Linked DNA regions of Yarrowia lipolytica. The protein of the gene in region 1 interacts with the protein of each later gene in a pairwise test. Links are inferred from orthologs where the notes say so. Each region holds a gene or a part of one and is shown on either strand. Other genes may lie near its edges.

Region 1 (5,198 bases):
CAGCCTTTATTGACGACGTGGAGATGGACGAGTCCGAGGGCTCGTACGAGGATGCGGGGGCCGAGGCCGACACGGTCGGAGACGGTTCTGAACATTTTTCCACGGGGGGGGGTGTGGTGGGTGGTGTGAAGATGTGTGAGAGGTAGACCCGATGTCGACGAGATCAGCTTTAGGGTTCAGACTAATGCTGCGCTCGACAATTGGGAATATCGAAGCAATGATTCTGGGGTGGAGTTTGGATGACAAGGAGAGGGGGTAGAAAGATGAAAAAAAAAGAAATCGATTTCAAAGGAAGTTTTACAGCGATTGACCTTTTAAGATCCGACATCGGTCTCTGGTAAAACAACTTTTAATACTCCCGTTTGTGCTGTTCGCTGCTTATGGTTTTGGCTAACACCAGATGCATAGGCAGCGTGGTGCAGCGAGCCATTCTACTGGACTGGAGCTACAAGCAGCTGATTGGGAAATGTTCTCTGGCTGTTTTTGGAGTGGTAAAATTGATTAGACCACTTGTAGTTATTCTTTTGTTTTATGAGTGAGTGACGTATACTCTTGGCAAGCCACCCCCATCTGAGTTCTTCCGGTTATCTACTGTACGATACCGTCTCCACAGCTCGATCGTCTATGCAGCAGCTTCGCCTTGTTTGGTGGGTTGATATAGCATAGCACAGAAGACCTTAAGCCGATATATACTGGGTGATATCGACAGATTGAGATATAGAATGACCAATTCTCAGTCTGTCTCCAATTCAATAAACTCCCACCTACTATAATACCCCACAATAGTGGCTTTACAGTCCCCTCAATCTACTCCATTGTATCTATCCACGTGCTCGCTATTGTGGAGCCAAAGTTTCGTTGCCGCTCACATGCAAAGAAGACAGACGTATCGTGAGCGCAAGGCCAAATGTTACAGTGGTGTAGAAGGAGGGCTCTATATAGACAGTGTCGGCATCTCAAGTTGCTGGGTCGCACACATCCCGTTGTTATTAATCGTTTCCACCAGTCGTTCCAATTTGGATCTTCCGATATAGTTTTGCACGTCTTACTTAGAAGTAATTGTTACGAGCACACTTGTAGTGAGACAGAGCACTGTAAGTACCATACAGTATGATATACAGTATGTACTTATTTGTACTTTGAGTGCTCTATGTGCTACTTGTAGAATATATATATTATATAATATATATATATATATATATTATATATATAAAGCCTTTCGGATGTTTCAGAGTCGAGTGTCCACTACTGATGCTAACAATGCTACAGAGCTGCACAAAGAGGAGCATTATTTTATTTTATTTTATTTTATTGTATTTTATAAACACCACCACAAGTAGTACTTATTTTTATAGTACGTACGTACATTTTTCATAGACAGTCCTTCAAGTACCAACTAAAAATCCAACAAAAATTTCCCTTCACTTGAAACCGAACTCTATCGCCCAACTTGAAAATATAAACAGAACCAGTTATTTCCACTATCACTAAAAAAGAACACGAAGAATACTCTCGGTATACTTCTACTATCATTTCTGCATCTCATCCTAACTTCTTACATATCCTCATATACTGTACAGATTATGACCCATCCAAATAAACTTCTGGCATGCACGACCCAAATATTTTTTTCCAAGCTGCATCACACAAATCATAGCGTTCCGACACCCGCTCTAAAACGATGCCTGCGATTGAAAAAAAGCGAAGAGTGGAGTCTGACGAGGTCACTGTGCGTGACAGACTTGTCGGAACCCCCTCTAAGATCTTCACGCCTTTCAGAGTGAGTACTACACCCCCATCACTACACCCAACATCACCAAACTAACACAGACTATTGGACATGTTGCCAACTCCACACCTATTTCCGTGTCATCTTTCGGCCGAAACTTCCTGGTTGCATGCAGTGTGGGCCGAGCCGTTCAGATCTACGATGTTTCGACGCTCCATCTCATGTTTGTAACCTCTCCTCAGACCCCCGCGCCCATCCAGTCGCTTCATTTCCACCGACCCTACGTTTATGCCACCTGGGACAACTGTATTGGCGTCTACTTCCGTGGTAAGCTACTGTACAAGCTGGAGTGCGACACCAAGGACAAGCTAGTGTGTGTGCGATCTTTCGGAGAGAACCTGGTGGCCATCAACAGCTCACAGATCTTTGTCTTCAAGCGAGGCCAGAAGAAGGAGGAGCAGTCTGACGACGAGGACGAGGAGGAAGATAGAGACGAGCTGGACCCTCCGTTTGAGTATTACACCACCGTGACTCTCGCCAACTCTGTGGGAGCTGCGCACTCCATCATCCATCCCCCCACCTACCTCAACAAGATTGTGGTGGCAACTCGACGGTCTCTATTGCTGGTGAATATTCGAACAGGCAAAGTTGTTTTCTCCACCAACGAGATTGGATCTGACGACGAGATCACCGCCATTGTTGACGCTCCCGTTGTGAACTACATTGGAGTGGGAACTGCATCCGGAAAGGTGCACGTCTACAACCTCAAGCTGGGTGAGCGACTCATGGCCTTTCACACCGGCTCGCGGGTCAACTGCTTGTCGTTCCGGTCGGACTCCTTTGCCCATCTGGGTGTCGGAACCGCCTCCGGAGATGCTTTCTTCTTTGACCTCAATTCCCAGAAACGTCTCCACGTGCTGAGAGAGACTCACGAGGAGAGTGAGGGAGGAATCACATCGCTGGTCTTCCTGCCCGGAATGCCAGCTTTCCTCACATGCGGTGGAGATAACTCTCTGCGAGAATGGGTGTTTGATCCAGTCATGTCGGAGTCCAACAAAACAGTCATTGCACCTCCGCGAGCCCTCAGACACCGAGCTGGTCACAGTGCGCCCCCCACATCGATCAAGTTTGTTGACGAAGAGGCCCATTTTCTGGTCTCAGCCTCCGGAGACGCGTCCATGTGGCGCTTCTCGCTCCGAAAGGATGCTCAGAACCAGGAATTCTCACAGGTGTCCAAGCTCACGGAGGAGCAGAAGAACAACCCTTTCGCCAGCAAAACTCGAGCTGCCGGACCCTCTAAAAAGATGCGTGTCAAACTTCCTCCTGTCACTTCTCTAGCCCAGACTTCGCTTAGACAGCAGGAATGGGACTCGATTCTGACAACTCACAAGGGCGAGAACTGGGCACAGACTTGGGACGGACACCGAGGACGAGTTGGAGCTCACAGATTGCCCACTTCAGATGGTGGCATCGCACAGACTGTGACTGTGACTCAGTGTGGTAACTTTGGTGTGGTTGGATCTGCTACTGGATCCGTTGACATTTTTAACCTGCAGTCAGGCATCCTGCGACGCAAGCTACAGGGTACCCCCAAGAAGAAGGCCATCACAGGCATCGTGGTTGATTCGCTGAACCGAGAAGTCATCACGACTTCTCTGGACCGAAAGGTGCGATTCAACGACTTCCACACTGGTAAGCTGCTCGAGACTGTGACCCTCGCTGCTCCTATCACCAAGCTGGTTCTGCATGACTCGTCAGATCTCATTGCTTGTGCTCTGGACGACTTCTCCGTCGTGGTCATCGACACCATCACCAAGCGAGTGGTTCGAGTTCTGGAGGGCCGACACGCCAACCAAATCACCGACATTTGTTTTTCTCCCGATGCAAAGTGGGTTATTTCAGCATCTCTCGACTCGACCATCTGCACCTGGGATCTGCTGACTGGAGCCTGTATCGATGTTATTCGACTCGACACTGTAGCTACAAACGTCGAGATGAGCAGAAACGGCGACTGGCTAGCCACAGCTCACGTGACCGGAAACGGTGTGTGTTTGTGGTCCAACCGGGGCCAGTTTGTAGACATTTCGTCTGCTCCTGCTCCCGAGATTGAGTCTTCTGAGGTTGCCCAGATTGATGCCGTCGGCTCTCTGGCTCAATCCTCGGTTGTGGATGGTGCCTTTGAGGAGACCGAGACAGAGGATCAGAGTCTGGCTGCTTCGATTGCCCAGATCGAGGAGTCTCTGCTGACCCTGTCTCTTGCTCCCTCCTCCAAGATGAACACTCTTGTGCATTTGGACACCATCAAGATGCGAAACAAGCCCAAGGAGGCCCCCAAGGCTCCTGAGCAGGCTCCTTTCTTCCTACAGCTTACCGGTGCCGACAAGAAGCCCGAGGAGGCTACTTCATGCCCCGATGGACTTGTCCCCTCTAATTTCGATGCTATTGGAGAATCTGCATTTTCTCGTCTTCTCCGAGAGGCTGCTCAGTCCGGCGAGTACCATGAGTTCATTGACCATCTGGCGGGTATGTCTCCTGCCCAGACCGATCTCGAGATCCGATCTCTCAACTCCTGGGCTCCATACACCGAGCTGATTGCGTTTGTGGACGCCATGGCAGCTGTTCTAGAGAAGCGAACCAACTACGAGTTGGGCCAGGCATGGATGAACATGTTCTTGCGCTGCCATGGAGACGTTATCATGTCTGCTCTCAACCCTAAGATTGTTGAGGACGAAGAGGAGGACGAGGTTCAGCAGCAGCCCTGTGAGCCTCTGAAGGGGTCGTTGACCAGATGGAAGGAGCTCAACCAGCACGAGTCCAACAGAATGGAGGATATTGTCAAGTACTGCCAGGGAGTCATCAACTATCTGCGAGTTGGATACTAAGCAGAACCCATAAGGGCTGTTTGGGTGGAAAATGTTAGAATAATGCATGTTTTTGGATACTGGAGTAGAGATATGATGAGAAGGTGTCACAGTACACCATACAGTAGGTATAGCAAAGGTAACAGTAATGATAGACATTGTTACTTCCAAGTTCAAGCGTAGTTATCCTTCATCTACAAGGTAGTATGATACCGCGCTTGTAGTTACTGTAGACCACGTTTACAACAAGCACTCGAATTACGTGACCAAAGCAGCCAATACACAGTTCAGTTGATAATACGTCTTGTAGTATAATGTACCTTTGTAGGCAGAAGTTCATGGTATCCTGACTGAACTTGTACTACTTGTAGAGTGTATACTTGTACAGCACTATAATATTACGTCATGCGCCACACAGCCACTGTGAAATATGCAGCAAAGGAACCACAAGCATTGTATGAGAAGACACCAGTACTTATAGTGATGACAGGTGAAGGGTACGATGCGGCACAGAGAATAGCAGAATGAACCAAATAGCTTATATTAGGGTCATTATTAATCACTGTCTTTTCCCCCTATCGAGAACGTTTCGAGAGCCGTCTCAACTA
Region 2 (4,232 bases), on another chromosome or scaffold:
TGGTGCTAGACTTGCGGAATATGAAGTACAGACAATAGACGGTGTATGCGAGGATGAGCGACGACTCCAGCGAAGAGCCCTTGCGCGAAATGACACCGTAGCTGCTGAGGCAGAAGCCCAGCGTCAGCACCATGCCGGCAAGAGTGCCGGTGCTTAGATCCACCGAGTCCGTGGCAATGTAGATGCGGTAGAGATTGTATGCGGTGGCGGAAATGACGCAGCCCGCGGAAATGAGCAGGACAATTTCCCACGAATCGCTCTTGCGGTGCACGAGCCACTTGGACACCTGGCCAATGGTCTGAATGAACAGCAACGTGCAGAAGCCCTCGAGAATGTTGAAGAAGGGCGCGGAGCTCTGCATGAGCGCATCCCAGGGCATGACCAGCCGCTGCAGCGCCACAGGCTCATTGTTGTTGGCGGTATTGAGACTCAGGTAGAAGATGAGCAGCGCCGGAATGAGAATGGTATGCAGATAGTAGAGAATCTGCGCGACATGTCTCAGCTTGGTACGGCCACTAAGTATGCGGAAGGTGGACAAAATGAAATACGATACCACCAGCGTGAAGGAGAAGGCCAGGCCGCAAAACCGCCCCCCAATGTCAAACGACAGTGGGATTGTGATCATCACCAGCGTCAGGTGGATCAGCGAGTATGCTGCTCGAAACAGCGTTAGTATTGTGATCATAGGGAAAAGAGAACAGAACGGGGTTCTGGAGTTTGTGTGATTGGCGTGTTTGTGTTTGTGTTCACCAATTGTCTTGTTTCGGGTTGAGCCGTGGAGCTGTCGTCTATCACCGTCTGTGTCTATCGTCTCACTGTGTCGCTTCTATCACTACAGCCGAGGTATCAGGTCGCGGGCGAGGCAATGTGATGGGTCGTTTTGTGTCAGATTGTAGGGAGTTGCCAGGTTTCCGATTGCTTTGGTTTCGCTTCAACCGGCTTTTGTTTTGCGCTCGGCTAATCTCTCGCTCGGGTGTCTGTCTAACACTACTTGTAGTCTGTGATTGAGCTGACGCGTATGGCAAGCCCTGGCACAATAATCCAAATTCCAAATTTGCACACCCAACCGTATTGAGATAAGCTTTATTTTTAGTCAGCTCGGGTGGTAGAGATACCACGGAAGTAGTGGTGTGCTGTTGTTGTCAGGACACGTTAAGTGGGACGATTGAGTCGAATTGTCTTCCAATAAGATCTCTTTTCAGCCTAACTACCTCGGAGACTGCCCTTTCTCCTCTTATATGGACGCTCGGGTCTCTTTATTTTAGTCAGGGCTCGGGCTGAGACACAGTTAATTTTATGTGCATCTCCATACAGCGGGGACAGGGTGCAGGTTCAGAATGTGCTGGTACTGTACTCACACGAGTACAAGGGGGCTTGTGATTGTTTGAGGAGCCGAAATTATTGTGGTGCCAGATGATCGGCTCATTTAACGGTGCGCTAGAAGCGGGGTAACATCGTTATTATTACCCTTAGTCTGGACCCAGATGAGATCTATGGGTACAGCAGAAGGGGGTGCGATACGGGTATACGTACGTACATACAAGTACAAGTAGTGTCTGGCTGATGCTGCTCCCTCTGAGGGACAGCCTCCGTCGTGTCTTTCGCCGAGTCTCCGTTCGAATCCTGGTTGCGTTCATTTACGCATGTTGATAAAAAAATATTTTAGGCTTCTGGAATATGCAGTGGGAAAAATATCTGAGGATCAGAATATCTTACTCATACACGCAAGAATGGCTCGATCTCACAAAGTGACCAAACCCAAGCGCCAGCAGGTCGACACATCGGGGTCGTACAACGCCCTGATGGTGCTGATGGGCGACAATGTCAAAAAGGCTGAAAAACGGGTTGAGGAAGAGGAGCCGGTGGAGCAGGAGCTGGAGGAGGACGATATTGAAGGTGCTGGAGAGGAAGAAGAGGAGGTCGACGAGGAGCAAGAGGAAGAAGAGGATGCTGATGACGCCGAGGAGGACGCTGAAGATGATTCCGAGACCGACAAATACGATCCATACAAACTGCATTTCGAGGCTGAGGAAGCCAAGTACGTTTCTGTCATCAAGTCTGAGGAGTGGAAAACCTCGTCGGAGAAGACCAAGATTGGTAGCCAGCCCGTTCGAATCACATACACAAATCTGGAGGATGCCGACGAGCTGTTGGACTTTTCCGAAGCCCAAAAAACCGAGTTTAGCAAGTACACAGTTCGGCCCCGGATCAAGGATGGCTTCAAGCAGCTCAACGGGTCTCTGACGTCGGTACAAAAGGCCATTTACCCTTCACTCATGGCCTACCGGGATCTGTGCTACGCCACCTCGAGTCTCAGTGATACCGAGGAGTTTTCGCGGCTAGTGGCCATGCATATTGCTCAGCATGTTGTTCGAACGGCTGAAGAGGTGGCATACAACACACGTATTTTGAAACGAAACGCCGAGGAGGGAATCCACGACGTTGAGTTCCGGGATCAGGGATACACAAAGCCACGAGTGCTGGTGCTAGTGCCCACAAAGAACGCCTGTTTCGAGTTCATGCAACTACTGGTTGGCGCTTCAGGAGTCGATAGAGAAGATAACAAGGCGCGGTTTAACAAGGCGTTCCACGAGGCTGGCGCTGTGCTCGACACCAAGCCCGAGGACTTCCAGAAGGCCTTCAAGGGCAACACTGACGACATGTTCTGTCTGGGCGTCAAGCTACGAAACAAGAGCATCCGGTACTACTCGTACTTTTACCAGGCTGACATAGTATTTGCGTCTCCTCTGGGTCTCAAAACGCTTGTGGGCAGTGAGGGTGACTCCAAGCGGGAGTTTGATTTCCTGTCGTCCATCGAGATCGCCTACTTGCATGAAACCAACCACATGGAGATGCAGAGCTGGGACAATGTGTTGACGGTGCTGGGCCAGACTAACTTGCTACCCAACGAATCTCATGGCTGTGATTTTAGCCGAGTCAAGAGCTTCTATCTTGACGGACTAGCCAAGCACTTCCGACAGACCATTGTCGCCTGCCAGTTTGTCACTCCAACCATCAACTCTGTCTTTTCCAACACAGTCAACTTTGCGGGCAAGACCAAGATCACTCCAATCTACAACGGAGAGCTAGCAGTGGCAGGCATGAAGATCCGCCAGATTTTCACCCGGTTCAAGGCTCTGTCTGTGTCCGATGAAATCGATGCCCGATTCAAGGCCTTTGTGCAAATCACGCTTGAGGGTATGATTCGCTCGGGAGACTACTCCGGAACTCTCATCTACGTGCCCACCTACGTCGAACTTGTGCGTCTCAGAAACTACATGGACGAGAAGAACATTTCTTTTGGTGCCATCAGTGAATATTCTTCCATCACCGAGGTCAAACGACACCGAACGCTCTTCCGAGACGGCCGAGAAAAGATTCTGCTGTACACGGGACGTCTCCATCACTACCGACGATACTTTGTCAAGGGAGTCAAGTCGGTAGTTATCTATAAACTCCCTGAGAACCCGGCCTTTTACAGAGAGCTACTGCTGTTTCTGACCCACTCGGTCGATGAGGGAACGCTCGAGCAGTCTATGGCAAAGTGCAGAGCCCTGTTTACCATTTACGACCTGTTGGCCTTGGAGAGAATTGTGGGAACGAAGAGAGTGAAGACAATGGCAAAGAGCGGAGAGAGCAGTTATGAGTTTTATTAAACACATAACTCCCAGACCGAAGCTGCTTATACACCTAATGACGGATTCTGATCTCACTCATTTCTTTCCCGGGTAGCTCACTCTCTACAATCTCTTTTAAGACCACATATATAGACACTAATAAAGATACAACTGGTCGAGATCATGCGTGTACCCACTGTAACTTGTGAGAGAGCTACTGTATTTATATGTCCTTCGTTTCACACACGGCTAAACATGAGACTTTTCGGTATAGCACTCATGGGTTGTAGACACGATCCGTTTGATATAAGAATGCAACTATCATGTTCTTCTCGTATGATCTACTTGTAGTTAAGGTACTCTCAACTCCTCGTATCCGTTCTTCTCAGAAAAAAGGTCCTGCCTGTCCATTTGCACACCACAAACAAAGCCTCTTCTCTAACAGATAACCACTGCTTTTTAAAAAGTCTCATTTCTATATATCCACCATTGCTTATTTCTCTATTTTGCCATCTGTCGATGGATGTTAGTTGTAAGTTGCTGACTACTCAATCAACTTGCTGACGGCCATGGCGATGCAGCACAGGGACACGTACGGACTGAGTCGTTCGCCAA

What was found.
Region 2: the proteins of YALI1_B17908g (region 1) and YALI1_D04969g interact in binary tests that used the Saccharomyces cerevisiae proteins (3 or more experiments, as listed by UniProt). The link is inferred for Yarrowia lipolytica from reciprocal best matches to the Saccharomyces cerevisiae genes UTP21 and UTP25.

The regions. Positions count from the first base shown.
Region 1 is NC_090771.1:1,787,446-1,792,643, reverse strand, and holds YALI1_B17908g (uncharacterized protein), read left to right. Parts: upstream 1-1,681; coding exon 1,682-1,780; intron 1,781-1,830; coding exon 1,831-4,611; downstream 4,612-5,198. UniProt on the Saccharomyces cerevisiae protein: Involved in nucleolar processing of pre-18S ribosomal RNA and ribosome assembly.
Region 2 is NC_090773.1:494,350-498,581, reverse strand, and holds YALI1_D04969g (uncharacterized protein), read left to right. Parts: upstream 1-1,643; coding exon 1,644-3,656; downstream 3,657-4,232. Other genes in the region: YALI1_D04978g (uncharacterized protein), read right to left, coding at 1-685; YALI1_D04936g (uncharacterized protein), read right to left, coding at 4,162-4,232. UniProt on the Saccharomyces cerevisiae protein: DEAD-box RNA helicase-like protein required for pre-18S rRNA processing, specifically at sites A0, A1, and A2.